4 linked regions of the Rhinolophus ferrumequinum genome follow. The protein of the gene in region 1 binds, or shares a complex with, the protein of each later gene. Links are inferred from orthologs where the notes say so. Each region holds a gene or a part of one and is shown in the gene's direction. Other genes may lie near its edges. The genes, in order: THOC5, THOC2, CHTOP and THOC7.

Region 1 (7,461 bases):
GATGATGATGAAGAAAAGCATGGGAACCTGCATTGGCTAGAATAGACAAAGAAGGCCTCTCTGAGGAGGTAAAAATGTAAGCCCAGCTAAAGAATGAGAAAGAACCAGCTGTGAATTGCTAGGGAAGGGCATTCCAAGGGCCTTTGCATGGAGGGAACAACACGTGCAAAGGCCCTGCAATGGGGAAAGGCCTTCAGGGTTTTGAGGAGTGCAAACGAGCCCTGTGTGGAAAGAGTGGGGAAGAGTGTGAGGTCAGGCTGGGCCTTGCAGGCTATGGGGACGAGGTGGGATTTATTCTAAGTGCAATGGGAGGCTGCTGCAGCATTTTAAGCAGCATGACATGACCTATAGTATGTTCTAATATGACTTCTCTGGCTGCCATGTGCTTTGCTGAGAGCATTTTGCAGGGAAGTATTTTGCAGAGAGGCACTGGGGCATCAAGAGACGGTTACACTACTTCAGGCAGGAGAGGTAGTGGCCTAGCCTAAGGTGGTGGCAATGAAATTGCTGAAAAGTCCACAAATTAATTAGTTCGGAGGTGGAATCAATGGGACTTCTGCATGAACTGTCTGTGTGGGGCAAGAAGAGGACTCCAGGACTCCCAGACTCCTGTTTGAGCAGCTGTATGTCGCTTACTGAGACCCTAAGAGGAGTAGGTTGGAGGGTTTAAGAGTGTAATTTTGACCCTCAAAAGTGTTATATTTGTGATGCTGACATACCCTGGTGGAGATGTTTAGTTGGCACCAGATACATGAGTATGGAGCCTGAGGGAGATTTCTGGCTGGAAATATAAATTTGGGAGTTGTAAACAAATGTACTGATCGAATGAGATTGTCAAGGCAGACAGTGTTTGCTAACAGTCCAAGGCATTGTGGAGGAAGAGACAGCAGGACAGGGAGAAGGGCCGTGGGAGGGGGGCCCTGTGCTGGGTCCAGGGTCAGATCCTCTGCCCAAAGAATGAAACAATGCCTTTCCTACAGCCTATAAAGATCTGCAGTCTCGGGAGGAAACTAGAAATGCTGCCTGGAGGAAGAGGGGCTGGGATGAAAATGTCTACTACACCGGTGAGCAAGCACCTCTGGGGGCTTCGTGAGGCCCTTGGAGGTCATCTGCAGGAGCCCTAACTGAGGTTGGAATCTCCTCTGCAAGGAGAGCTAGCCTCACTTGATTACCTTTAGTGATGAGGAACTTTCTTTTAATAAAATGAGTTAGTGGGTTTCTATCGGGGTGGCACACGCCACATGATCCAGAGTCCCTAAGTGAGTGCTGTGGGGGATGACAACACCACCGGGAGGTCCCTGCCTCAGAGAAGCAGGGTAGTGAGCGAGCACTGTGACCTCAGGCTTGGTTCACCTCACAGAGGCTGTTTCCTTATCTGTAAGATGGCGAGAGTGCCTGCCTTGGATGGCTGGAGGAAGGATTCCAGGAGCTAATTTGTGAAAAGTGCTGAACTTCGCCCAGACTGACACAAAGGAAGCATACAGCAAATTTTTTCGAGCCAGTTCTTTTGCTTACAGCGTTTGCCACTTTGCTGGGCCCCCTGAGAACCAGCTGGAGTCAGCAGGTGTTGACTGAGCCCTCACTGTGTGCCAGGGACTATGGTGGACAGGTGGCTGGGGGGCCCAGCATGAACAGGAGCCTATGCCTGCCCTTAAGGAGCTTACATCTGGGCTGCCACACTTAACTGGTGTAGGGGAGAATGCGTCTCCTGAAGTTTACCGGAGGCTCTTCAAAGTGTGGTCCCAAATGATGGTAGTGTCAGCATCCCTGGGACCTTTAGAAATGCTGAATCTCTATCGCTTCTCGGCCTTTTGGCTAAGATCAAGTGTAGAAATGCTGAATCTCAAGCCCTTCCTCCGCCCACTGAATTAGAATCTGTGCTTTAACAAGAACTATAAGTATTAATCACTTGCATGCACAATAAAGTTTGAATAGCTCTGAGCAGGAGGGAACAGTCTGACCTCCTGGGTGACCTTGGGTTGACCGGCTCTGGGCTGAAGGCTCCCCATCTGTAAAATGAGGCAGTTGGACTAAATCTGCTTGTTTCATACCTCAGCCACTTGAGGACCCGCTGACAGCTTTTGTTCTACCCGTATACGACTGCCACAGTTATTTTCTTTAAGTCCCCCTACTTGACTCTCTAACTAGCTTTGTCATGAGCAGTAGTATCTGAAATCACTTTTTATTATGCTAGGTTTTTTTTTCTTCACATATACAGGAAAATAGATAATTATGAAAATTTTCTAAGTGTTGCATTTTATCACCACCTAAGTCCCCTCTCCTTTCAGTTTGGAAGACCTGGTACTCTCCATGGGCCATTTAGGAGGGCATTGGGGCTTTTCCTGTCTCAGCATCTCAGGCCTCTTCCCCCTTCAAAAGCCAGTTTCGGGAGTTGGCTCGCCTCAGCCTCATCCGTGACCTCTGCCTCTCTCCACAGTCCCGTTGGTGCGACACATGGAGTCTCGGATCATGATTCCTTTGAAGATCTCACCTCTCCAGTGATGCTGCTGTTGGCTCCACCTCTTTCCCCTTCTCCCTCAGGGCAGCCATGGACAGAGGAGCTCCCAGGCCAGCTGCCTTGTTTTCTCTCGGATTTGGGAGGACTCGGGGGGCTAGTGTTCAGCTCAGAAAAGGGGGAGCTGAAGGATGACAGGGTTCTGAGGATTTGCAGCTCTGCCCAGACAGTTCCCACATTCCCCAGCACTCCTTCCCCTGGGCGGGAAGCAGTTTTTAATTCCTTTGAATGAAGAACAACAACCTTTTATGTCTTCTCACATCTTCCTTAAGATTCCTCATCTCAAGGCCACCAGTCAGTCCCCAGTTAGCACCACAGAATCCCTCAGTTTAGCTTTAGTTGCACAAAAGGTAGTGTGTCCAGGGATTAGAGCTTGGGTGGGAAGGGAAGAGGTCAAAGCAGGCCAGGTGCTCAGGCATTGCTTGGTCTCCACTGGGCCACATACTTGCTGGACAGTCTAAACCATGTCCCTCTTGCTGCGGAAAAGCCTAGAATTGCTTCAAGATATAAAGAGGGAAGCCTTCAAGTTAGCAAAGTCAGCAGGAGGTCCATATATTCCACCCAGAAAGGCTGGGGAAAGGGAGATGGAAGGAATCTGGGGGCAGGAAACAAAATGGAACAGGAACAAGAACCCAGAACTAGGAACCCAGAAAGTAGAACTTAGGATTCAGAACTAGGGTTTGAACTGCAGAACTTGGAATACATAATAGGGACGATAGAACAGAGGTGACAAAAGACCACTTGGGGAGGGGCTCCTAATACAAGACAGAGAGGCTCACCTGTTTCTACATAATGAGGCTGGAAACTTGAATATGTAGTTCCAGCCCTGTACAAAGCGTCTCCTGTCCTCCCTTTTCCTTCTTTCAGGCAAGGGTATGGGCCAGGGCCTATATTTCCCTCCCCCTGCATCCCTTTTCTCCCTCTTCACATTCTATCCATCCAACCCTCATTCTGCCGGGCTACTGGGTGTGTGAAGTGGGGTCAGTGACTTTGGAAGCCTCCTCCGTGACCCCCATACTTCATGAACCTCTGGGTAACTTGATTCTGCCTCCCTTTCAGGAAAACTTGTGCTGGAGTTCCTGATGGAAACAATTAAATGTTTACTATAAACCATCGTTGTTTTTTCTTCATCTGCAAGGAACTTTGGCAGGTGCCCAAGGCAGGGCCAGCTTCCCAGTTTGAACTGGCTAGTTTACCCCTCACTGCCCAGGGTACTATGGGGAGGGCCTCCCATCATGGCAGAAGGAACTGTCCTGTATAACCAGGGATTCAATACCAAGTGTTTCCACCTCCAGATAAGTAGGATTTACACCGTAAGTCCTGAACCCTCCCTGTATGCACAATTCTACCAGGGATAGAAAACACTGAAGCTGTCAAATGCTGCATTAGAGTTGTGACTCTGCCCTGGGCAAATCGGACGTAAAGTGGTAAACTAGTGATGCACCTGTGGGGGAAAAAGTGTTAAGGAGTTAATGCCCTCCCTGACGTGCTACCCTTACCAGTGGGAAATGTTAGGATGAATGTGTATGGTTTAAGAATCCAGGTTATATTGTCTAGTAGCAAACGAGTTAAACTAGCAAAATAAGCATCAAAATTAGAAACCTCCTGCCACCCAAAAAAGAAAATTCCAGGTATGGAAGCAAATCCACAAGGGTCCAAATCTTGGCACTACCACACTCTTGTGTTACGTTGGGCTTTAGTCAAACAACAAATAACGACAAAACATGTACTAGCTGCTGGGCATTACTTTAGGCGCTGGGGAAAAAGTGAACAAGGCACATAAGAATCTTTGTCCTTGAAGTCTCAGTTTCTTGGTTTTAGAGGGCAGTACGAGGGTGTTGGCAGTTGGGACCCTCCCCTAAAACCCAGGTGCCGCGGCCTCCTTGCTCCCACGTCACCAAGCCGCTGCCTGCACTGCACGCTGACTGCGGGCTTTGCGCTTCGCTTCCGGCCTCCGCGCCTCGCTTCCGGCCGGCCGCTCCTTCCTTCCGTTTCTCTATGGTGCGCGGCTCACAGTCTCTCCGCCCTGGGAAGTGGCTCGTTCTCCTGGACTGGTTTCGGGCGCCGTGGGGTGAGGAAGGGATCGGGACCGCGGCGGGGCGGGCAGGGGGGCTCTGGGATTGAGGTGTGGACAGCGCGGAAGGCGTCTTTGGGCTGGAGTCCAACCAGGGTTCTCCGTCCTCGGAGAACCAACCCCGGGGTTCCAGGCCGTTTCCTTCTGTGGAAAATGTCGCGGTAGCTGCAACATCGTCAGGCCCACGTTGTAGCCTCTAGATGATGGCGACGCGACGATGATGGTAATGGTGATAACAGTTGACATTCATTGTGCGCTTAGGTATGCCAGGCACTCTTTACTGTGTTGCCAAAGTCGGGATTTCCCACGTTTAAGCCTTTCGGCTTTCACCTTTGTGGGTTTGGCCATATCAACCAACCATGTAGGACTGTTTACTAAAGGTTTTTAATCGAGTCACTTTTAAAATTTGAATTTACTTCAAAAGAAAAATTGAAGTCTCTGCCGTAAATATAAAATTTCTTTCACTTGCCATATGCAGAAGGTAGTGACAAAAATCAATATGTTTAATAAAACAGATCATTGTTAATGATTCGGGCCCGATTTCAGTCTACAGCTCTGAGACAGTCCTTTTGTTAACAAAGGAATATTGGTGTTCATAGATGTTAAAGGTAAACTAGGGAGATGAGACAGTCTCCTTGAAGCAATCTGAAGTTTCTAAAAGTAATTGAAAAGGGATTAACTTTCTCCTCAGGTGTTCAACATTATGTAAGATCATCCATGTACCATCTAAAGCCCCGCTCCCAAATCATCTTCATCACCTTTCCCAGTGGAGGACATTCCTGTGTTAATGTCCATAACAACCCCTGAGGTAGGTAGGAACTGTTATTTATTATTTTATTTTTTTAAGGAAGGTGCAGCTCACAGGGGTCCATGCGGGGATCTAACTGGCAGCCTTGGTGTTATTAGCACCACGCTCTAACCAACTGATCTAAGGGGCCACCCCAGGAACTGTTATTCTTAATTGATCTGTGAGAAAACAGACCCAGAGAAAAGGGAAGTGACTTGACTTGTCCCGGGACTGATGGCCATAAACTAGGAGAGTGGAGATTCCAACTCAGGGCTTCTCTGACTCCACTACAATGAGCTATTGGCCTCCTCAATAATTGTTGGTGACAGGATTCATTGGGGTAAGGGGAATAGTGGGGCTATGGTGACAACCAGGAGAGGTAGTGGAAGGAGGATGCTTTATGACCCAAAGCTTCATGAAATGTTCTTTTAAATTTTAGGGTCAACCAGGGAGTTGATGGCATTGCCAGATGACATAGTGGCAAGACTAGGAAGCACAATAATGTGGTTCTCAAGAGCGCTGATGTGGCATTCGATGGACCCAAGCTTTAGCATACTAGCTGTTTGACCTTGGGCAAGTCATTCACCTTTCTGATCTCAGTGTTCTCATCTATAAAATGGTACTTGTTCTTATCTAAAAGGTTTGTTAAAAGGATCAAATGAGAACATACCCATAAAATGCTTAGATCAAGGTCCAGCACAGTTATCTATCAATAGTATTGGCAATGGGCTTACATGGCATCTGAATAGTTTGGTCCGTGAGGTGGTTCTTCTAAAGGAGGTGGAGGTTGAGAAGATGAGGTCACTTTGGATAGCCTGAGGGATTGAACTGAGCCTTTGGAGCGTTGAGCTACTTTTCTTGAGTTACCAAGGGTGTAAATGGCAAGAACTGAAAGTTAGACACAAGTATTCTGACTTCAGGAAAATTTCCAGTTCCAACTCTGGAAAATATCGAAAGATATCTCCTTAACAGGTTTCTGTTGTTTCTGCCTGACCTCACTAAACAAGCATGTCATCAGAATCGAGCAAAAAACGGAAGCCCAAAGTGATCCGAAGTGATGGAGCTCCATCGGAAGGGAAGCGTAGTCGTTCTGACACTGAGCAGGTGAGATCAGCCGGGGCTGCCGTGCTGCTGAGAAATTGCAGCTTGTGGCCAAGCACCTGGCTGTGGGTTTACAGCAGCTGAGGGTCACAGGGACAGCCTCCAAGGTGGCCTCTGCTTAACCGGGTGCCCAGAATTCACTTGGCTCTACAAAGTAGCCACATCAAGTTTAGCTGCAGCATCCCGAGAACCAACAAGCCTATATACGTGATTAGTGCCTGAACAGAGAATTCATGCTAGTATGGTGTGTGTCTCCAATGTTCCTGGTGGTCAGAAGAAGGCAGTCCATCTGCAGCATGCCACTGGAGCTTTGGCATCGCTGTCTGCTACTGAGACAGTGCCAGAACCACATGCCCGCAAACCCTCTTCTGCGGCCTGAGGGCTCCTGTACTCAGTAGGTTCTTCTCCTTTGCTATTTCTTTATCCTTGAATCTGTCGAGCTCATTTATGACTTAACTATTTAATTATTTGATGGGTTATATTTTTTGTTTGTTTTTAATACTAGAATAGAGAAATATATGGGCTAAAATTTAAGTAGGAAATGATACTTGCCTCAGATTTACGAAATCAAGATTAATGAAGGGCCTCATCCTTTTGGGGGCAATGATTCTGACTCTTTTTTAATTGAGGTGTAATTGGCATAACATTATGTTAGTTTCAGGTGCACAATAAAATGATTCACTATTTGATATATTGCAAAATGATTGCAATAAGTCTAGTTAGCACCCATCACCATACATAGTTACAAAAAAATTTCTTGTAATGAGAACTTTTAAGATCTAGTCTCTTAGTAGCTTTCAAATATGCAATACAGTATTATTAACTAGTTGACTGTATTAAAGAGATGTTCTGTTTACTCCAAACGCTAGGAGAGTAATAATATTTCAGTCTCTGTTGAAGCTTGATTTGACCATCTAAACACCCAATTTCGGTTAAATTAATTCTGGTTTATTTAACAGGCTATCTGTCATGCAGCCATTTTGA
Region 2 (7,490 bases), on another chromosome or scaffold:
TGCTCTAACCAACTGAATCAACCGGCCGCCCCCTCCTTTCCTTTTTATTTTATTTTGTTTTATTTTATTTATTTTATTTTACTTTTCCTTATTTCTTTAGTTTTTTTTATTAACATTGTTTTGTACACCTGAATATTTCTTTAGTTTTTAGTAAGTCCCCTTGCCCCTTCAGGCTTAGGTATACTACTTCCAAGTATTGCTAGCCCTGAGGTGCTTCACCATCCATTTGTTGTTTTCTCTCAATCCTGCAGCACCCTTGTGCATGGTTCCCTCATTAAACTCTTTAATTATCTCCTTTGAGTATGTCATGTGTTTCCCGTCATGAACCCTATACAATTCCTAATATTTGTTTATACATACCTTCTCCTTTTTTATAATCAGTCTTGACAGAGGTTTTTCAGTTTTATTAGACTTTTCAACAAACCCATTTTTGATTTTATTGATATTTTCTCTTGGATATTTTCATTTTTTATTAATATTTGCTATTTTAAAATGTCCTTATTTCTGCTTTCTTTCATTTACTCTGTTGTTGTTTTTGCAACTCTTTTTTTTATTATTGGGGAATATTGGGGAACAGCGTGTTTCTCGAGGGTCCATCAGCTCCAAGTGATTGTCCTTCAATCTAGTTGTGGAGGGCGCAGCTCAGCTCTAAGTCCAGTTGCTGTTTTTCAAACTTAGTTGCAGGGGACGCAGCCCACCATCCCATGAGGGAATTGAACTGGCAACCTTGTTGTTAAGAGCTCTCGCTCTAAACAACTGAGCCATCTGGCCACCCCTGTTTTTGCAACTTCTTGAATTGATGCTTAGCTTTTTTATTTCTGGCCTTGTTTCTTTAATAATACAAAAGTTTAATTGTAGAAATTTCTTCCTAAACACCACTTTAGCTGCAACCTATCATTTTCTATTAGTATTTATATGTAATATTTTCAGTATTGTTCTGTTCTAAGTATTCTAATTTTTACTATGACCTTTTCCTTTGACCTATGATTTATTTCAAAGTATGTTTTTAAATTTCCAAATATAGGTGTTTATTTTCCAGTTGCTACATACAATGTTCTATGTATATCACTAGATCAAACTTGTTCACTTTGATGTTCTAATTTTCTACATTTTTACTGATATTTTGGTCTGCATATTTCTGACAAAGATGAATTAAAGACTCTCACTGGGGTGGTAGATTTGTCTATTTCTCCTTGTAGTTGTGTTAGTTTTTGCTTCATATATTTCAAAGAGGTTGAATGAGTACATTCCAGATTAGTACATTTTCCTGGTGAATTGAAAATTTTATTAATTTATAGTAACACTCTTTAAATCTAATGATTATTTTTCCCTTAAAATCTGTGTTGTCTGATATTAATAGAGCTGTGACAGCTTAATTTGTATTGATCTCAGTATTGGCCTGTTATATTTTCCCCATTGTTTTTACTTTTAAACTTTGTGTCCCTGTGTTTCAGGGATGTCTCTTAAAATTAGTTACACTTTTTTAAGTGTAACCAGTCTGATAATCTTTACTTTTAACTGGAGCATTTAGTTTACTTATATTTTATGCAATTATTGATATATTTAAGTTTAAACTTACCATTTTTCCTTTCAAAATAAAGAGTACAAAAGATTGTAAAAAATAAATCTATCATCTTTGTCTATTTCCTTTGTCCCACTTTTTCAAAAACTTTTCCCTCCTTTCTTGCCTTTTTTTGGATTGATTGATTTTTTTTCCTCTTTCAATGTTTTTCCGCTGTGGCAGTTTGGAAGATATATAATATCCTTTTGTGTTTGTGGTGGTTATCCAAGAAATTTCAATTTGTATATTTTACATAACTAAGTCTTTAGTTAATAAAAAAGCCATTACCGATATACAGCATTTCAACGGACAGGCCCACAAAGGGTATAACATTTGTATTCATTCTTTGATTATTTTACTTATTTTATCTTGTTTTGCTTTATGTGCTTCCTTTTTGATCCCATTATCTGTTTTCACTGAGATGGTAAGATTGCCTAACCTTAGGATTATTGAAAATCAACTTATCACTCTGTTCACCAGACTGTCAACACTGAAACTACCAAATCGCTAGCCTTTACCACAGACCTCAATCCCTGGCTAGTCCATTGGTACCCAAGTGCCAGTGAGATCACCAGGGAACAGTACTCCCAGCTGCTGAGACAATGTCAGTTAGCAAAAAAACAGGTAAGCTAATAACGAGGATGCAAAAGATATAATAGCTTTGCAATCTTATAGAGCAAAAAGCCAATTAGCTGTGAGGAATTCCTAAAGGAGTCATCATCCATGCAAAAATAGTTCTGCAGGCTCTAGGAAAAGGAAACACCAAGGTCTCAAAGGGCATCACTACAGTCAGGTCATACCACATTTGTGGTATACTGAGTAGTGTATACTGCACACAGTTCAGTGTTTGGAAGGAGAAATCACTGTGATACAGTAGCACGGTAAGCCACAATACAGCAGGATATTGTAGCTCAGTGGTTCTCAGCAGGGGGCTATTTTGCATTTCAGGAGACAGCAATGTCTGGAGATATTGTAACAACTGGTGTGGGGAGTGCTACTGACATCTAGTAGGTCCAGCCCAGGGATATGCTAAACATCCAAGAAGGCACAGGATCGCTCCTGCCCTCCCCAAAGTATTATCTGGCTTCAAATGTGGATAGTGTCAAGTGCTGTAGATTATACACTGAATACATAAGCAGCAGGATAGTGCTGCTTGTATCACAGAAGCCATCCTGTAATAATGATTTCAAATTTTTTTAGGGAAGGATCATGATACAATGAGGATTCACTATGCCATTCTGTTAACACATGAAATACTCCATAATAATGAAAAATGAGATTAAAGGGCAGTCATATTTCTGAAACTCCTTGAAATGGCAAAAAGTTTTTATGAGCAGATGTCATTGAAACTGAATGGTGTGTATTGTATTTTCTAGGGGGTTGCTTTAGAATTTCAAAATCAGATAGGACATTAGGAGACTAGATATAGCTGATGAAATACAATAATAATGTAGCATTTCCCCAGAACTATTCTGAATACAGTCTAATCCCTGAACTGTTTTTTCCACACAGGTGAACCTGGTCTATTTGGCAAAACTTGCCAAATTGAGACGATATTAGTTCTAAAGTTCATATGTTAATATATGTGTGGTAAGATTTCTTCATTTTGTTTGTCTGTATTTTCTAAATTTTCTGCTAAAGATATATTTTTGAAACCTTATTTTGAAAAGTTGCACAAATAGAAAAGAGAACCCCTGTATGTCCTTTACCCAGATTCCCAAAATATTCATATTTTACATTTGCTTAATCATCCTATCTTTTTTGTTTTCTGAAACATTCTAGAGTAAATTGCAACATAATGCCCTATTATCTCTAAATACTTCAGTGGGCATTTTCTTAAATACGGACTTTCTCTCCCTATAACCAAGGTATGAGCACTACAAACCAAGAAATTACCATTGATGCAATGTTATTACTTAACCTATAGATATTCAAATGTAGTCAATTGTCCCAATAATGCCCTTTTTTTAGCATAAGAAAATGTTTTTTCTGGCTGGGGATCAGCTGTCACTACCGTAGTTTTCGTTAATCTGGAAGAGTTCCTCACTCCTCGTCTTTAGTGATCTTGACGATTTTGAATAGCGCAGGCCAGTAATTTTGTAGACTGTCCCTCAATATGGGTTTGTCTGATGTTCCCTCACGATTAAAAGCAGGTTATGCGAATTTTTGGCATGACCAGTACTACAAAATTGGTTCGTGTTTTCCTTAGCACCTTATCAGGAGGCACATGATGCCCATTTGTCTAATTTCTGGGGATGCTTCTTTTCATCCCCAGATGAAACATTGTTTTGTCAAGTTTTTCCACCTTAAAGTTTCCATTTCGCCCTTTGAAGTAGTATCTGGTCGGGAGATACTTTGATACTAAGTAATGTAAATAAGTTGTTTCTCATGATACGTACTCCCCCTCGTTTTGCCTAAGGTTACAAAGACCTGGGAGACACTATGGGGTGTCGGCACTGGTGGCTGCGTTTCCCAGGGCCGATTTCTCTTTTTCTCGCTAGATTGTACTAGCATAATGTCTGGCACACAGTAAATGGGTACTTCTTCTATGAGTATTTTTATTTTTAATCTCAGCAGTTAGCAAGGTGTATTGTAATCGAGCTGCTTGTATGTTTGTCTTTCCCACAGACTGTGAGCTCGTTGAGGATAGGCATCATGGTTTATTGTTTTTCTATTCCCAGTGTCTAGCACATATTAGGTGTTTGGAAAATATATGTTTTAATTAGTAGCCTTAAGTAGATACTACGGAAGAAGATAAGGGCTACGAGTCGGCCTGGGGATGGCACTTTTCCTGTTCGAAAGGGAAGTGAGGGCAAGGGTGGCATAGGGCGCGGCCAGCGACGTCACTCTGCGAAGGGGCCCACGGGTCTGGGCCACCTCGTTGGCCACAGGGCCTTAGGCTTCCTCAGGGTGGGGAGGACCGTGGAGCGGGAAATCGAAAAGTGAACTCGCAGCTCCCGGCATTCTCAGTGGGCGGTGCTCCCCTTTGACCTCTAGCTCGCGTGCTACACATCCGGGCTTCTGTTACTAGTGAGAGGAAGATGGCGGCCGCAACGGTGGTGCTTCCCGTAGAGTGGATAAAGAACTGGGAGAAATCTGGGAGAGGCGAATTGTGAGTGTCCGAGCTGGAGGCGGGCGCACGGCCGGGCCGGGCCCGGGAGTTACTCTCACATGTGAGAGGAGGTTGCGGGGTGGGGGTGGGAGGTGAGGTGTCCCCTCCCCCATCCGGGCGGCGGGTGTGGATGGCTAGGAGTTTCGAACTCGGGGAGGAGAGCTACTGTTAACCGCCGCCGATCTCCTTCCTTCCCTGGCCTCCCCGAAATCCCTGCTGCCCGCCGTAGCCTGCCTTCCTTTAGCCTCTTAGCAGAACTCCTGTTTCGTCCCTGCGCTCCTGCTCTGCTCTCTCTTTTTGTCCCCCTTTTCGCTTGAGCTCACTTGGCTCCTTTCTCCTTAAGGGGCCGCGCCGGGTGGGTTCGGACTTTCCATCTCTCTCTGTCCCATTTCTTCACTCTGCACCCGTTCGACTCCGCAGTTTGGAGCCCGGCGCCCCCTCTTCCAGAAGTCGGAGGAGGGCGAACCATCCCGGACTCCTTCCCTTCTTCTCCGCCCGCCGCCGCGAAACCCGGGGCGTCGCGAACAGCCCCTCTTGTCACCTCTCGTCCTCCCGGGGAGCGGTCTCTTGGATTGTCCCGGCCTCGCGGGGCGCCGCTGGCCGTGGGAGAAGTGTAGTAGGGATTGTCGCTTTCCACGAAGACCTACCGGCATTTCTTTGCTCCATTTTTTCACCTTAGAGTCATTTCGGGTTGGACTCAACTTTCGTTATTAAATGTTTCCTAAACCCCATTTTGTCCTGGGACTACAACTAATTTTGGCAACTCTCCAAGGTTCTCGAGTACCTAGAAAAACGCGTTTCCTTTAGTTATAAACTGCCCCCCCCAAGTAATACAGAAAATAGTAATTTGCCATGCCCACGGTTTCCTCGCCCAAAATTTCAGCGCTCTCGAGGGGGGGGGTGATATCGCTTAAGTAGCAAAACCCCAGATTAAAAAAAAAAAAAAAAACCCACAATTTCTCATTTGCTTCTTTGAATCGATTTATTAGCTAAAGCTCAACCCTGTATGAGTTAACGACTTAGCCATTTTTACCATCGTCGCCCCCTAACCCCAAGTAGTCAGTTTACGGTTGCTGGTGGAGAAGATAACGAATCTTTGGAACTTCGTTACTTAGAACGAAACGCACGGGGAACGTGTTGCCGGATCTTGCGCATGTCGTATTGCCTGCCTATATGGCCTCTCCACCCTCCCTCCCCGCGTTCGCACCGCTTTACGAAGTCTTAACAGTGTGAGCTCTAGAATTGGATTGCCTGGGTAAGCGGCCTTCTTAGCCACTTAACTGAGTGACCTTGGGTAAGTTCCTTAACCACTTTGACAGTATCTCCTTGAGTAAATTGGGAATACTCAAAGGATTGTTGTGAAGACTAAGTAATGCCTGTAAAGCACTGGGCTTATAATAAGTGCTCAAGTGATAGCTATTAAATGTAATATTATTCCAATCTTTAGATATTTAAACTTCCTGGACAGCTCTTGCACTGAAAGTCTGTACCACGAAGGTGAGCAGTTAATTGGTCTCTCTTTCATGTGTACTCCTGTACTCAACGAATTGAGACCCTTGAAGAGTGGGGGCTGTCTCATTTGTTTTGGTTCAGTTCTCCAGCCTCCCTCCACCCCAGCCTTTCTAGTATATGCTTAGAGTGCTTGTTTGCTTATTAGCTGACAGAGAAGTCTATCTGATAGACATTCATTATTAACTGGAGCATTTTCCAAATCCTCGTTCTGCTAGTTAACAAATAGCTGTTAGGTTGCTTGTGTGCAGGGAGGACAAGATGGGAAGTTACCAAACCAAACCATCATCGTCATCTATATTACATTATGATACCCCCTCACCCCAACCGATAAATCAGTTCAGTGTTTTGTTTACTTTTAAAGCCAACTTATTTATTTAGGGGCTGTCATTTTTGTAGATTACTCAGCTTCCTCCTTCCAGCTAACTGTTTTTGACAGTATTACTATTATGACTGCCACCTTGGAATGAGTAGTTTTAGGGCTAGGAGGTTGCTGTGACACAAAGAAATGCTGTTTGGCTTCTGATTGGCAGTCGTTGGTGAAAAAAACTGTGATGTAGGAGATCAAAATTCCTAGTCAAAATGGAGTTTTCGATTCACTTTATGTATATTTATATAACCTATGCTACTGGTCATAGTTCTGTGTTTGAAGAGCTGCTTCAAAACTGTTATTAGGACTTAAATGTATATCGTTATTGCATGGCTTGTGGAATGTGGTTTGAATTTCAGTAGCTCCAAATCAGTGTAGTCAGTTTTATAATTGTATCCGGTTATATGAAGAGAGTTTGAAGTTGCTAGTTGTGTGACATAATGAAATATTTTAAATAGTCAAACACATCACCATCCAGTAGTCTTCATTTATTTGATCTCTTTGCCCTCTGTGAAAACTTTGTTGCATATAGTCTAACTGGATATTTTGTATCTTGCTAAAGATAGATGTTAGCGTTTACATTTTATTAGAACAAATGATGTAACTATATTACAAAAATCCTTTCCTTTTCTTAAAACAGCCTCTTAAAAATAAACCAGCAACTGGAAATGTTAAAAATGAAGGTAATGTGCTACTAAATTATTAGTGAATCCATTTATCGAGCTGGCTTTTAGAATATGACCAATATTTAAAATTATATCTTGGATGGATTTTTCCTTTTTAGCAAGATAGATTAGCAGGTGAGCTTTAACTTGACTGAAAATTACTTTTTCTTTTTTATAAAGGCATGATGTGTTTCATGAGGTTCATTTCTTTTTTTTTCTTACCATTGTAAGTCTGTATTCCAGGAGTTGTCAACTGTAGCATAATAGTGTTAA
Region 3 (7,103 bases), on another chromosome or scaffold:
GAGGAGCCCAGCCACCAAGCTTCCAGATCAGGCTCTCCTACCACGAAGCCCTCCAGTGCCCTCTCAAGCCTCCCTCAATCTCCCAGGAGCTGGGGAGGGGTCCCAGCGCTTGGCTCACTTCCGGTGGGATAAGCTGGAGAGGACAAATGGAGCAGCTGCTCTGCCTCCCCCACCCAGCCTTGCCAAGAGCTCAGGGCCCAGGGACGTCTGGTAGAGCATGGGCCATGTGACATCAGGAAGAGGGGCACTCGGGTGTGGTACCCACTCCCAACTCTCCCTTTCTCCTCCTCCCCTTTCTTGGCCCAGACCTCCAGACTCCTCTTTTCCTCTTTCTTTCCTCTTTGTTTTCCCACCCGCCCCCTCCCTGCCGAGGTCCTCTCAGGATTGCCCCCACATGAAATGCTTGGCTGCTGGCGAGCTCCAGGCAACCCCCAGGTGCCCGTCCTGGATGGGGCCGGTAACTGAGCCACCAGGCCCCTCCCTCTCAGGCCCCTTATCCCCTCCATCAGCCCCGGCTTGGGTTCCATCTCCCCCATGTCTCTGTGACAACCACGTCTCATGTCCGGAGTTCAGGTGACACTCACAAGGGCCCCATTGAAGAGCTGGGATGTCATCTGATCAGGGCCCATTGTCCAGCCCCTCAGGCCTAGGGAAGGATGGGGACACCTGATCTAAGACACCTGAGCTGCCCCCTGAGGCCGTGGTCGGGCTGAATGTCCCAAGACAGAGAGAAAGAGGCCCCCTGGCTTGGCAGTCCCCTCTCCTCAACAGACCCCTCCATTTTTCTCCCCCTGTCTCCCAGCCCCTTGAACTCAGAGGACCTAATGCACTCGGCCCTTTATCTCCCCCAATACATACCAACCCCGTTCTCCCTGCTGCCACTGTCCCCACTCCAACCAGACTGGGCCTGGAGGGTGGGAGTAGCTACTAGCAGTGACAAGTCCTCATGGGTCTCCTCTTCCCCTCCCTAGAAGCTCTGGCTCCAGGGAAAAGTCTCAGACATTCCTGTCCCTTCCCACCACCACCCCATGGAAGGGCTAACTCTGTGGAAAAGTAAGAGGAACCAAGCTAGAGACATACCCCCGGGAAGTGCCATGCTCAGGAGAGAACAGAGTTGAGGGACCAAAAGATGCCCCATCTGCTGACAGGAAGCTCAGAGGCAATGAGACTTCCTTCCCACGACCCTTGGGCCGCCCACTCAGGCTGCCACCCTCTCCATCAGGCTGACCAAGGGCACCAGACTGACTCCTTGCCAGGAGTGGGCAACAGAGTCAAGTCTGTAGACAGGAGCCCAGCCCACCACCTCCAACCGCAGAGCTTGGCTATGCTAGGCAGGCAAGGTTCAGGGTAAAAATAGAGCCAGAGGAAGCCTGGCTGGGTCCTGTGACCACCCCTGCCTGCCTGCCTGCCTGCCACACCCTCGTCAGTATCTGTGCAGCCAGCCAGGAGACACTGCAGGGTCCACGCAGGCCTCTAGAGCCAGCCCTGCTCCAGCTGTTCCCCCTCCATGCCCCAAACTCTGACTCCCTCTGGCGGGGGTTTGGATGGAGGGACACACAGAACAGGTCTGGACTTAGATCTGTTTGGGTTCCCCTACATTTTAGGGTCCCACTGAGAGGTACATTGTGATGGAGCTCCAATCTCATGGCTATTTGGGCTGTGGGACCAGGACCAGGCCTGAGGGCTCCCTTCACCCCAACCCCAGATATCCTGAGCATGGTCCCCTGCTCACTTCCATGGTGGGGGGTGCATAGGTGAGCTTCGAGATGGGGTCTGAGCTGGAGACGGCGATGGAAACTCTCATCAACGTGTTCCACACCCACTCGGGCAAGGAAGGGGACAAGTATAAGCTGAGCAAGAAGGAGCTGAAAGAGCTGCTGCAGACGGAGCTCTCCGGCTTCCTGGATGTGAGTACAGGGTGGGGGGATTGGGTGGAGCGGGCAAGGGCTGGGGGGCACCGGGGGCCCCTCCCTGCCCTTTCCCCAGCTCACCCCAGCTCAGCCCAACCATCTCCTTCCCGTCCCAGGCTTCTCTCCTGGGTTTTTCCAGGCTCCCCTACTCCTGGTTCAAGCCAAAATGCCCCGAGTTAGTGATCATCTGTCAAGGACCAGGACCTGCGTAGATACAGCCATAACAAGGCTCACAGTCTGGAAAGGGAAGATTGACCCTTGAAAGTAAATTTTGGACACCAGGAAGCACACAGAGCCTTAACAGAGGTGCCAGGAAGGATTCTGGGAGAACATTAACCTGACTGAAGTGGGATGGCTTCTCCACAGAGGCGACACTTGAGCCATAGGTTTCCAATGGAAGATGCTTAGGATGAAAGTAGACATTTTGGGTGGAGGCGTTTGCGTGAATAAAAGCACGGCAGAAAGAAGAGTATGGAGCACACTCAGTAGTTTCGACTGCAGGGAAGGATGCAGAAAAACAGGCTGAAGGAGAAGCCTTCAGCTTCTGAGGTTTTATTAGACCTGGGCTCAAGCTTGGGCGCAGCCACGCTCACTCTAGCTGTGTGACTTTGGACACATTATTTAACCACCAACTGTCTCTTTGTTTCTTCTCTAGAACGGGAATAATGCAACCTACTTCATGCTATTTGTGTTAGAATTAAACGAGACAGTGCTTATAAAGCTCCTAGTGTAGCGCTTGTCCATTGTAGGCGCTCAACATATGATAAATGGGTGTTTCTAACTCTGCCTCGTTGAGGGGCTTACTGTATAGGCAGCAGGAGGCCGCAGTGTTTGTCAGTTTCGAGGAAGGCAGCAGAAGAGTCCCCTAATTAGATGTAGCACTCCCTCTTGCTCAGCTCTGCCTCCTGCTCCCCAATCAATCACCCCCCCCTTGGCTCTAACTGGGCGCCATCCATCTCCATACACCTCCCCGTCCATCTCCCTTCACAGGCCCAGAAGGATGCAGATGCGGTGGATAAGGTGATGAAGGAGCTGGATGAGAACGGAGACGGGGAGGTCGACTTCCAGGAGTACGTGGTGCTGGTGGCTGCCCTCACGGTGGCCTGTAACAACTTCTTCTGGGAGAACAGCTGAGCAGACAGCCCCAGTGGGCAGCGCCCTTCCCCTCTACCCTGCCACCCCTGCCCGTGTACTCTGCTTCCCCCTCACCCCGCGCCCCGCTCCCCACAGTCCCACCCTTGCCTACCCTCCAACAAGGGCGCAAGAGTCGTGGGCCAGGCCTGCAACTCTTTCATTAAAGGCTCCTCTCTCGCCAGTCTGTTGTCCTTCCTTTGGGCTCCGGAACGGGGGTGTGATCCCTCCCCATCTGCCTTATTCGGGGTTGGCTCTTATTTGGAGAGAGGTCAAAGGACCATTACATCTTCCTACTGGAGGAATATTCAAGGCCCGGGAAGGCAGGGGTTCAAGATACCAGCTGCAAGTGCAGGAGACATTAGCTCCGCAGCTGCAAAGCCAGACAAAGAATTTCCCTTCAACCTTCAAAGCCTATTTCGAGGATCTGCCATGTGCCAGATATGGAGTAGGCACCGGGGATACAACGGTGAACAAACCAAACAGACCCTTGTCCTCACGTCCCGTGAGGACGCCAGACCATTAAACACGCGCACATACTGGAGGGGAAACGAAAGAACCCTGATGGGGGCGCACGGGGTGGAGGAAGGGCTGATGATGTATTCGTTCATTCATTCTTCAGCCATTTTCGCCTTTTATTGTGTACGCAAGCATTAGAAAAGTCCCATGTATGTCTTCATCAACATCCACATGGATGGCAGAGGGGGAGGGACAACGTGGGAGGGGCAACAGGCACGCAAAGGTTGTCACCAAATAAGGCTTTAACAAGTCCCAGGTAGAACATTTTGGACGGTCTGCCTTAGACTGGGGGTCGGGCAGGCGCGCGAGGAAACACGAGCATGTGTTGCCTCCGCACCGAACGCGCTCGGAGCGGCCCTCAAGGTTACCGGCAACCGCGTCTGGAACGTAAAGCCCCGCAGGACCCCACTGCGCGGCCGTTGGCCACGCCCCTTCGTGGGCAGAGCACCGCGGGCTCTGGAAGGGGCGACGGCTAAAGCCCCGCCTTCTCCCTAAGGCTCCTCCCCGACCCCCGCGCAGGCGTAACCCAAATCTCCCCGCCCACTAGCTGTGCGTGGGCCTGTCGCCTGACGTAATTGCGTCGACGCCATTTTAGCCGGGCCCACTCCGCACTGGGCGTGGCGGCCATTTTGTTTGGACTCGGAGCGGGAGTTGGCGGCAGCGGCTTGCGGTGGCACAGCCGGAAGGCAGGGCAGGGCAGGCCGGGCGCGCAGGCGGACCACCGAGCAGACAGCCGGCCGACAATAACGAACTAACCTAGCAACCTACCGCTTACGCATCTAACCAACCGCCCACCAAGCGAACCCGAGCCCCTCCGCCGTCAACTCAGGTTCGGCCGGCCCCCGGCCCGCCTGCCGCAGCCGTGGTGGCAGCCCCGGGAGGAGCACTGGCGTCCTTTTCCTGCGGTACGTCGCTGCGGTGAGAAGGAGGGGAAGGTCTCGGGGAGCGGAGCGGAGCGGAAGGGGCCGGCGGACGCGAACCGGGTGGGAGGTGGGAGCAGGTGGGGTGCTGGCGTGGGGAGGCCCCGGGGAGGGGGCGGAGCCGCGGGGAGGCACGCGGGGGCGGGCCTGAGCTGGAACCTCGTGGCGGGATCGCTGGAAAAGAAAGGTTGGGGTTTGGTAGCGCTGAGAAGCAAAACGGTTTGGCCGGTTGAGCAAAGTTGGCCGTCTTGCCAGGGCTTTGAGCTGGTGGGGAGAGGAAAAAAGGAGAAACGCAGGACTTGGGGGATCGTGGGAAAGGAGCGGCGGCTTCAGGGTTAAATCTTGTAGCGCGCTCTCTGGGAGCTAAGTCCCGGGTGAATGCCCAATTAGGAAACCTTCCCTGCGCCCTCTGGCAGGTCCCCAGCCCCTTGCTAAGGCCCCTACTTGATTTTGATATTAGGTATGCCCGTTATCGTTTCTCTAGATCAATGGTTCCCGATTTTGGCTGCACAGGAGAAGCACGTAGGTAGCCTTTTTTTTTCCGCTTCCAATTTGTGACCCACAGACCTCACCACTAGAGATTGTGGTTCAATTGGTTTGGGCCCAGGATTCTAAATGTTTCTAAAAGCTCCTTGCAGCCAAGGTTGAGAAGGACCACGCGAGATGAAGAGCCAAACTCTTCCACTTCCTTTAGCTAGGTCTGCCATTTTGGAGGCTTTGGCTGATACTTGCTGTCCTGTGGAGTCTTTGAGGGTGGTGGTTTGAGGTCGTTTACAAATTTAAGCCCCTGGAAGGCGTTGGAGTGTGCTCTTAAATAGCTGTTGATACAGGCCTTTTTCAGGCGCTGTTGCTTTGGGCCTTTGGCCTTTGCAGAAGTGAGGTCGTTGGTATTGCGATGTGCTCATTCTGCCTATTGTCCTTTGTAGATTACCGGGATTTGAAGATGGCTGCACCGTCAGCGCCGAAAGTTGTGCTAAAAAGCACCACCAAGATGTCTCTAAATGAGCGGTGAGGCAGCCAACAGCAACTTCAGCTCGTTCATAAGAAAACATTACTTAAATTGGCCCTGGGGTCCAATGCACAAAAGCCGGTTTTTAAACTAAATACCAACAGAAGGCTACAGACCTCTGTTCTTAGTTGCATCTTATGTGGTACACAAAGCAAATTGGGCGGTTGTTTCAAAACCCCTTATCAGTAGATTTTTATATTAAGCTGTCTGAAATATTTGTCTGGTGGGATGTATTTTAAAAAGACTCCTCACACCCTCCCTTTTCTTCACATTTTTAACGTTGACACAGGGATGGTGCAGCTCAGTAGCACGGTACCCAGGCTGCAGCCTGCAGCCAGCTTGCTGCCCCGTCCAAGGCCAGCAGTGTTGTGTCTGGCCTGTAAGAGGCAGGTAGCAAGCCGTGAATATGTCCAAAGGCCCTTGAACGCCATTCTTGGGTCTTGTAAGAGGCACTTGCTTTTGCTCCATTTCACCTTCTTTGCATTCTGCTTTGAGTTTGTTTTGTTTTGGATTCTTTTACAGTTAAGTGTTTTCTCTTCCATGCCATTAAACTTACCCTTACAGGAATAATAGAAGAGTGTCTTCACGAGCTCTTAAACAATTGACCAAATCTAACTTTTCAGAAGTAAACACTTGAAATTAGAAAAAGTAATCGTTTGAGACTAAGAAAATGAAGGTATTAAAAGGCAGCTTCTGTCTCTGAGAGCTTTGTTTGTTGAGTGCCTTTGACCAGTGATGTGTTAAGTTGATATTCGACCACAAAAAGATTTACTTAAATGTTTATGTTTTCCTTTTCTGAAGCATATGTGCTTGGCCTTCTCTCCTGGGGAATGATACACTAATTCTGCACGTTCACATGTTACCGAGTGAACAAACAGGAGAATGTGGTGTGCTCATGCGATTTACGAGCGCCGTATTCCCGTGGGCTTCCGAGGTGCTCCTGGCCTGTGTATTGGCCCTTAAAATGCACCCTCAGGTCTCCCAGGGTTTTGGCTTTCTTCGTTTGTCTTTGAAACTCCATCTTGTGTCTCATGTTGTCATCATATCTGCTTATTGCGTGTTTTTCATACCTTCCACCTCTCCCAGCCGTCACCTGAGCCCTCGTTATCACTTGATTGAATGTGCTGCACTTAGCTGCAGTTCTCAGTTTCTGATTCTTGCAAGTTTGTGGAAGCAGAGGAGTCTTTAACCCACATCAGCCTTGATCTAAGTACCACTTTACTTAAAAGTTCGTGGGATCTGGAGCTCCTGGTCTAGCAAGCCATGAAAATGCCAATAAATGTTTTGTAATAAAGCTTTTATTTAAACATCCATTTTGTTCGACCTTGAAGCTTTACTAATATGCTGAAGAACAAACAGCCGATGCCAGTGAATATTCGGGCTTCGATGCAGCAACAGCAGCAGCTAGCCAGTGCCAGAAACAGAAGACTGGCCCAGCAGATGGAGAATAGACCCTCTGTCCAGGCAGCATTAAAACTTAAGCAGGTGAGAGGATGGGTCATACCACTCCAGAAGCAGCTGGTGATCTCTGGCAGGCAGTTCCCTGAGCCTGTCAGGACCTGATGGATGGTTCCAAGGTGGCTCAGGGCAAAAGCTGAAACTTCTCTGGGGGAG
Region 4 (7,051 bases), on another chromosome or scaffold:
TGAAAGCAGAAAGTATGAATGCTCACCATGAGTAAATGAGAGGAAACAGGAAAGACCACAGAAACAGTGGCAGCAAGCGTATTTTTATGGCCACGAGCCTTATAAGTATTTTATTCATATATCTCTTCTTTCACTCATAATACCCTCTCTTCCTTCAATGTTTAAAGAAAGGAAAATACAATTCAGTTCTTCCATACTCTTTCCTGTTGAGAAAAATGGATGCAGGTACCCACTTGTGGAGGTCTTAAAGATATCAGAATTAGACAGCCAAAGTCCTAGGTTTAACTTTCACTAATGAAATCCCTGGGGTACCTGTGAGGGTCCCTTAAAGCAGGGGGTGTGCAAACATTTTTAGAGGTGAAGGACTGGAAAGCAGACGTGCAGTTTTTCACTTAGATTTTTCATTGAAATCACAAGTGAAGAGCAGCAGTTAAATGGAATCTGACCCAGAGACAGGCGATGCTGCTGCGTGCCTATTGCTTCTTTCTGCCCAGCACTCAGGGCCTTCGCGCGGCCACCAGCACCACCATTCTCCTTCAACTTTTCCCCAAACGTCTACAATATAAGAACCAGTAAGTCTGAACTCATTTTTAAAAACTTGACTTTTTTTCCCAAAAGTTTCAATATTTTCATCATACTTATTTGAAAATAACGTACATCGGTATCATGTACCATGTTTGTTTATACATGTTCACGCAGATGTTTATTAATGGTTACCCACAACTAGCTTCCAAGTCCTTCCTGGGCACAAATAAGGGGCTCTGAGTTTTACACCAGGAACTTCACGCCAGCTTCCTAACACCTCCACTAAGTCAGTCTTCTCCAGATGAGGAACTTGAGGGTCAGGCAAGTTAAGTAGCTACAGTAAATGAAAGAACCCAGAATTGAACGTAAGCCTGTTTCGAGTCAGAAATTGTGTTTTTCCCATCACACCCTGCTGTCTTACCAAAGCACAAACCCATTTCTTAGAGTGACTACCTCCCAGTCAGATTTCAGATTCGCTGGAGAGTAATAAGAGAGTGGAACTGAATGAACCATTTGTTCCGAGGACTGGTTGTCAGGCTCAAGTCTCTGTTATGGACCACAAATCTATCTGTTCTAAAATTTTAAATATAATTTAAAAACAGCCACAATGCACTCAAGATAGCATGTCAAGCCCTTTATGTGCGTGCATGGTTTATCAACTCACAGGCGACGCTTTGCTGTGGGAACAAAATGGAAGTCTTTTTGCACCTCTAAGACCACATGACTAGGCTGAAGGAAACTTTAAAAGGCAAGTATTGAACACCAAGATCTACTTTTTCCTACTTGTTTCTCTTAAAAATTATTCGAACTCCCATTTAATAAAAACATCTTTCTCTAACTTTTTTGGGCCCTGGACCTATTTTAAAACCATAGGCTCTCTCCCCAGAAAATCACATATACAAAAAGTTTCGGTCACAACTGTAAGGGGGTCAGGAATCCTTTGAAGCCTATTCGTGGACACCTGCCCCACCCCCACCCCCACCCCCACCCCTGCTCAGAGGTTCACAGACCCCTGGAAGACCCTTGCTCTAAAAGGATATTATAGAAATGCCTACATCATTTCATAAGACCAAGGTAAAGATCATATAGCTAGTTATCTTATCATCCTTTATAGTTTCATAAAGTTAAAATTAAATAAACACTGAAACAAACTTCCTTAACTAGACTCTCATAGTCTCAAAGAAACCAGGAATCTCATGACTTGAGTAAATCACCAAATCTACGGTCATTTAAGTTCAAAGTCCAAATCAGTTTGTTATAGCTTAGAATCTGCTACTTCTTGCCGAGATTTTCCTAGAAAAGAAACATCAGTATGGCCTAGAACTTGAGCTCTATTTTAACGTTCATTAACATGTTAATATATAATCGATCACATGAGAAAGAGACAATGTCTAAAATTTACTAAAATATATTCTTTCACTATATATGATATGAAGGAAAGTCCATTAACACAATTTTTAAATGTTCAGCACACAGATCTGTGTCAATGCAACTGCAAGGTAAATTACGTGGCTGACAAAGCAGATTTTTAAAAGTTCATAAAGGCTCAAATTTTGATGTGTTTCCCACCACCTGACTCAAAAACTTCCAGGAATGTTTATTTTCAGGTATATCTCCAACTTCAAAGCCTTTCCCATCTCTCTTGATCTTCTTCAGAACATTTCTAGCACTGTCCAATAAAGTTGTAAGTTACAAAACGAACTTACAAAATAAAGGATAGGATGTCTCATGAAAATTTAACAGTTACAGAGGACAGGGATACTTATCTATAAACAACATTAAAGATTATTTTAAATCACTAGATACTGTTTCAAAATCTGTATTATGATAATGAGACTAAGTAACAAGTAACTTAAAAAGAACATCGTTTCACCCAGACAATTACCTTTTAAACAATAATGATCCCTGCTAAAATGCCTTTGGGATAGACAATCAATTGACACATTCAATTTACAATGTATAGTACTTAAGACTTAAAGTAATTCTTCTTTTGGTTAGAGTATCTTCTCTCCTAAAACCAAGAAAATGAACAGGGACTGATGCAAATAGGCAGCCAGTGTTTAGGACAATATTATTTCAAAGCCCAAGAGGTTTCAGGCCCTGGGGGAGGGAAAGTTACACCTAAGAATCTTCACTCAACCTAACTTTATTTATTTATTTACCTCTGTGCCAAAAGTCAAAGGTGCTGATTCTTCAGAACACTGTTGAAGAGCATAATTGAAGTTCTGACTTCATATATGAATAGTATTTTACATACACTGGATTCCTAGCTAGAGGTGAAATGAAACACACTTCACTGTTGTTACACATTTGCATTTACAACTCTTCCTCTTTGAAAGAACTGAGAGAAATGAACCCAACTTTAGTAAGGAAACTGAAACCACCAGATCCACGCCACTAAGTGCTACCTCCGGGAGATGAAGAGGCCGGTTACTTGCGGGATAGGAAAATTGGAAAATAACTCTATGATCAATAAAATATCAAACCTGGGTTCAACACTCAGACACGCTGCTGGTGCCCTAACTGAATCTATCCCACTGGAGAGCAAATCAGCAGCTGGGTCGGTGCTCGCCTCTTCTCACTTTTCACGACCTAAAGGTTGCCATTTGTGAGAAACTCATCGAAGTTGAATCAAAGTGACTTTTGGGAAGAGATGCCAATATAATCTGCAGTGTGCTCCGGAAATGTGTAACTTTACATACAAGGCAACGTTTCTCATTAAACACCCCCTCCCCCTTCACTTTCAACTTCCCCTTAAGATGGGGACAGTCACATAGACATTTTCCGAAAGTCAAAGAGAAAAATAAACACAAGCGCCCCATCCCTGCCCAGCGACGGGATTCGGGCGCCGGGGGAGGGCGGCGGGCACACCGCTCTGCGTCGCTCCGCGAACTGCTCCCGGAGGTCGCCAAGTTTCTCTTTCCCCCCTTCCCAGCACCCGCCAGTACCCAGGAGCGAAAGGGGCGGCCGCCCCGGCCGGCAGCACGCGACCTGGATCCCGGGGCCTTTTTTGATCACCGGCCGCGCCCGGCGCAAGTGCCCGCGTTGGAGACCCGCCGGGGCGCGCGTGGGCGCCAACTTCGCGCCGACCCTCGCGCCGCGCCCCATCGGTGCCCTTAGTCCCACGTCCCCCGGGCTCGGCAGGGGCCGGGCACCCACGCCGCCCTCCCCACCCCCGGGGGGCGAGCCCACCCGCAGCAGCAGCAGTCGGGACGGGGCGGCGGGGGCCGCGGTCCGTTCCCCGGAGGGGGCCGGGACCCCGACCCCGGGCGGCCCGCGGCCCCCGCCGCACTGGCGGCGCCCGGGCGAGCTCACCTGGCGGCTGGCGGCGGCCTCCGGGGCGGCCTCTGGGCGTGGGCCGGGCGGGGGCGGCAGGGGGGGCGGCGGGGGCCGGGGCTGCAGCCGGGCCGCCGCCGCCTGCCTGGCCTGGCTCCCACACGCGCGGGCCGCGGCCGCCCCCGGGGAGTGCGGGGAGCGCGGGGAGCGCGGGTCCGGCGGCGGCGGCGGCGCGGCGCGGCTCAGGCGTCGGAGCGGGCGGCCGCAGGCGCCGCCGCCTCCTCCTCCATGGCTGTTTACCCGGCTGCATTGTGGGAATTTGACCTCCGCCGCCGCCAACCGCCGCCTCAGCCTGCGCCGCCGCCGCCGCCGCGCACGCCATGGGAGCCGTGACTGACGGTGAGGCCGCTCGCCGCCGCCCGGCCCGCTCCCCGGACTCCCTCGGCCTCCCCCGGGACCCCCAGGCTCCACGGCCGCTTCCGGGAGTCCCCGGGCCTCGGCGATCAGACCCCTCCCCGGAGGCCGGGGCTTTCCCGGCCGCTTCCCCCGAGCCCTCCGGCCTCGCTCCGCAGCCCCTCGGCCCCCTCGGAGCCCCTCTCGCTCCCGGGGCCGCTCGCTCTCCGGAGGCCACGCGGGGCCCGGGGGGTTGTGCTGGGATCGTCGGGAGGCCGGGAGGCACACGTGGGGGCCCGGGAAGGCTGGGAGCGCTGCGTGGGCGGGTGGTACCGGAAGGGGTCCGGGCTGTCGGAGGATGTGGTGGAGGAGCCCTCGGTGGGGGTGGGGGGTCCGGGAGGCCCGCGAAGGGGAGGAAGTGCGGGAGGCCCTGGATCCGGGGGTCCGGAGGGCCCGTGGGGGGCTGGGGGGAGTGCGAGCCCCAGGGATGGGGCGAGGGTTTCGGGCCACGCAGGAAGGAGACACGTTCCGGGACGAGTGTAGCAGGGGCGCCCGCGTATAGCGGGTGACACCTGGAGGAGTCCGGGACCGGTGGGGAAGGGCCCCGGCACGACGGGGTGGATCCCAGTGAGGCCCGGAACTGGCCCCGGCTGGCGGTGGGGAGAGGAGCCGAGGACGGCCCCGAAAAGGAGGTGTGGGCCGGGCGTCTGCCGGACGGTCAGCGTGCACGGGGGTCTGTGGGGTGAGAGCCGGAGGAGGGGTCGGGCCTCCCGGGTGGAGCGAGGCGACGAAAGGAGCGCGTGTGTCTCGGGGAGAGTGCGTCGTCAGCTGGGACCGGGGGCAGGGGCAGGGGCTGGCCTTGTGGGGAGCTGTGAGGGCGGTTTAGGGGGGTGGACCCCCGTGAGGAGGGCCCAGCGGGTGGTCGGTGCCCCGAGAGCAGAAATGAAACAGGGCGATGCCTCGGGGAAGGTGAACAGGCTCCGTGGGCAACTGCGGGGGGAACCTGAGAAGGTTATCAGTTTGGGAGGAAGGAAGTTCTGTGACATCTGGGCGGGGGGGGGGGGGCCAGGTCGCTGGGTCTACTTGAAGAGAGTGACTAGTAAGCGTAGATGCCTGCGGAGAGGCCACTTCTGAAAAACTGGAGGTAGGAGGGACCTCCACGTTAAGGGGCTCGGCACTGGGAAGGAGAGTAAAAGGCCCCGATTTGAGGATGTGGTGAGAGTAGTGAAGTGGGAGGCTCTTAACGGTCCAGCTCCGTCGCTGGAAATTTTAACTTTGCTTTATTCCAGTTTGATTTATTCAGTAGATATTTATCCCCCTGGGCTCGGCTTTGGGATTCCAGCCGAGAACCAACAGGCGAGACCTTTTGCCCCGCTGAGAGTACAGTCTAGTGGGAAAGACACAGTGGATAACTCGTTTTAAGCCTGGCAAACGTTACGGCAGGAGAAGTGTAAGCTTGAGAACTGGGGAAGCTTGTAACAAAGATGGCTAATCATTCTGGGAGATCAGAAAGCGTCCCTGAAAAAGTTAGTCTTAATCCCATTTTTGAAGGATAAATAGACGTAGTTGGACTTGAATGACGTGTGCAAAAGCCCCAAAGTCTAGAAAAAACTCAAAAATGACAAATACTGCCTAGAATTTAGAAAGTTGTGAACCAGAGATTTCTGAGTGCAATGCATTAAAAAAACAACCACACTCTCTACTATGTGAAGAATGATGAGAGGAAGGGAAAAGCGAGGAGTTGTAAGTTCCCACCCCTATTTCTAACATTTATATAGTGTTATCGTATGTCAAACAGTGTTGTGATTTTTATTCCCACTTTACAGATGGAAGTGGAACACATATATGTATTAAGAAACTTGCCCAAGGTTGCACAGGTAGTAAGTTGTAGAGCCCGGGCTCTCAGCTGCTACTGTAATGGTCCTACTGAGAGCTAATGGGGGCACCACTGAAGAAGGAATGCAGAGAAGTGGACAGGTGGGGGAGAGATTTATGGGGGCGAATGTCAGGATCTCAACGATGGAGTGGATGGCAGGGGAAAGATGGAGGGTTATCCCAGGTTTCTGATTTGAGTGACTGTATGCTTGTTAGTCCTACTTCTCTTTATTGAGGTGGAGAACTTCAAAGTAGAGAGGAGTTTTGTCCTCCAGGAGATGGAAAGGGATGATGAATTCTAGTAAAGTGACTGACTACAGTCAAGGGCCCCCCGCATGCTTAGAGGCTACAGGAATCTCCAGAAAGCTCTCTGACCTTGTGCAGATTAATTAACCTCTTGGAGCCTCAGTTTCATTCTTTATATGGGGATGATAATAAAATTGACCCCATGGGGCTTTGAGTATTAAGTGCAATAAAAGTTGTAAAGTGCTTTGCACTGAGTCTGACACATAATGTTCAATAAATACTATTAAATGTAAGAGCTGGTTTACTCACCTCTTTCCACTTTCCTTTGATGAGAAATGTGCCTTCTTCCTCTTTCTCTTTTCAATTACAGTTGACATTCAATATTAGTTTCAGAGGTACAGCATAGTGGTTAGATATTTATATAATTTACGAAATGATCCCCCTGATAAGCCCAGTACCCACTTGGCACTATATGTAGCTATTATAATATTATTGACTATGTTCTCTACGCTGTACTTTACATCCCCCTGACTGTTTTGTAACTACCACTTTGTACTGCCTTATCCCTTCACCTTTCTCATCCAGCCCCCCAACCCCCCTGCCATCTGACAATCATCATTTTGTTCTCTGTGTCTATGAGTCTGTTTCTGTTTTGCTTGATCATTTATTTTGTTGTTTAGATTCCACATATAAGTGAAATCATACAGTGTTTGTCTTTATCTGACTTATTTCACTT

What was found.
Region 2: THOC5 (region 1) and THOC2 share a complex: the UniProt entries of both Homo sapiens proteins name them as parts of the transcription/export (TREX) complex. The link is inferred for Rhinolophus ferrumequinum from reciprocal best matches to the Homo sapiens genes THOC5 and THOC2.
Region 3: THOC5 (region 1) and CHTOP share a complex: the UniProt entries of both Homo sapiens proteins name them as parts of the transcription/export (TREX) complex. The link is inferred for Rhinolophus ferrumequinum from reciprocal best matches to the Homo sapiens genes THOC5 and CHTOP.
Region 4: the proteins of THOC5 (region 1) and THOC7 are in contact, whole or in part, in a cryo-EM structure (PDB 7APK), measured with the Homo sapiens proteins. The link is inferred for Rhinolophus ferrumequinum from reciprocal best matches to the Homo sapiens genes THOC5 and THOC7. Residues at the interface, in NP_001002877.1 of Homo sapiens: Pro48, Asp51, Tyr52, Tyr55, Cys59, Leu62, Gln63, Met66, Ala67, Gln70, Phe95, Lys99, Leu101, Asn102, Ala105, His106, Arg108, Leu109, Gly112, Arg113, Gln115, Thr116, Ala119, Lys120, Val123, Tyr126, His127, Leu130, Leu133, Glu136; in NP_079351.2 of Homo sapiens: Ala21, Asp23, Ile27, Leu30, Val31, Phe34, Tyr50, Met53, Leu54, Leu57, Cys60, Glu61, Met64, Gly65, Thr67, Leu68, Val70, Tyr71, Asn74, Met78, Tyr81, Ile84, Tyr85, Ile88, Glu89, Ser91, Ile92, Ala95, His96, Lys98.

What each region holds. Positions count from the first base shown.
Region 1 is NC_046308.1:18,919,317-18,926,777, reverse strand, and holds the start of THOC5 (THO complex subunit 5 homolog), read left to right. Parts: upstream 1-4,448; 5' UTR 4,449-4,586; intron 4,587-4,592; exon of another isoform or gene 4,593-5,243; intron 5,244-5,280; 5' UTR 5,281-5,397; exon of another isoform or gene 5,398-5,401; intron 5,402-5,815; exon of another isoform or gene 5,816-5,949; intron 5,950-6,348; exon of another isoform or gene 6,349-6,383; 5' UTR 6,384-6,384; coding exon 6,385-6,480; intron 6,481-7,461. UniProt on the Homo sapiens protein: Component of the THO subcomplex of the TREX complex which is thought to couple mRNA transcription, processing and nuclear export, and which specifically associates with spliced mRNA and not with unspliced pre-mRNA.
Region 2 is NC_046284.1:33,437,069-33,444,558, forward strand, and holds the start of THOC2 (THO complex subunit 2), read left to right. Parts: upstream 1-4,472; 5' UTR 4,473-4,602; coding exon 4,603-4,673; intron 4,674-7,490. UniProt on the Homo sapiens protein: Component of the THO subcomplex of the TREX complex which is thought to couple mRNA transcription, processing and nuclear export, and which specifically associates with spliced mRNA and not with unspliced pre-mRNA.
Region 3 is NC_046305.1:52,561,747-52,568,849, forward strand, and holds the start of CHTOP (chromatin target of PRMT1 protein), read left to right. Parts: upstream 1-4,100; 5' UTR 4,101-4,465; exon of another isoform or gene 4,466-4,478; intron 4,479-4,977; exon of another isoform or gene 4,978-5,002; intron 5,003-5,406; 5' UTR 5,407-5,423; coding exon 5,424-5,488; intron 5,489-6,820; coding exon 6,821-6,974; intron 6,975-7,103. Other genes in the region: S100A1 (protein S100-A1), read left to right, coding at 1,767-1,907, 2,901-3,044. UniProt on the Homo sapiens protein: Plays an important role in the ligand-dependent activation of estrogen receptor target genes. May play a role in the silencing of fetal globin genes.
Region 4 is NC_046300.1:57,897,549-57,904,599, reverse strand, and holds the start of THOC7 (THO complex subunit 7 homolog), read left to right. Parts: upstream 1-4,046; 5' UTR 4,047-4,181; coding exon 4,182-4,200; intron 4,201-4,790; exon of another isoform or gene 4,791-4,911; intron 4,912-7,051. UniProt on the Homo sapiens protein: Component of the THO subcomplex of the TREX complex which is thought to couple mRNA transcription, processing and nuclear export, and which specifically associates with spliced mRNA and not with unspliced pre-mRNA.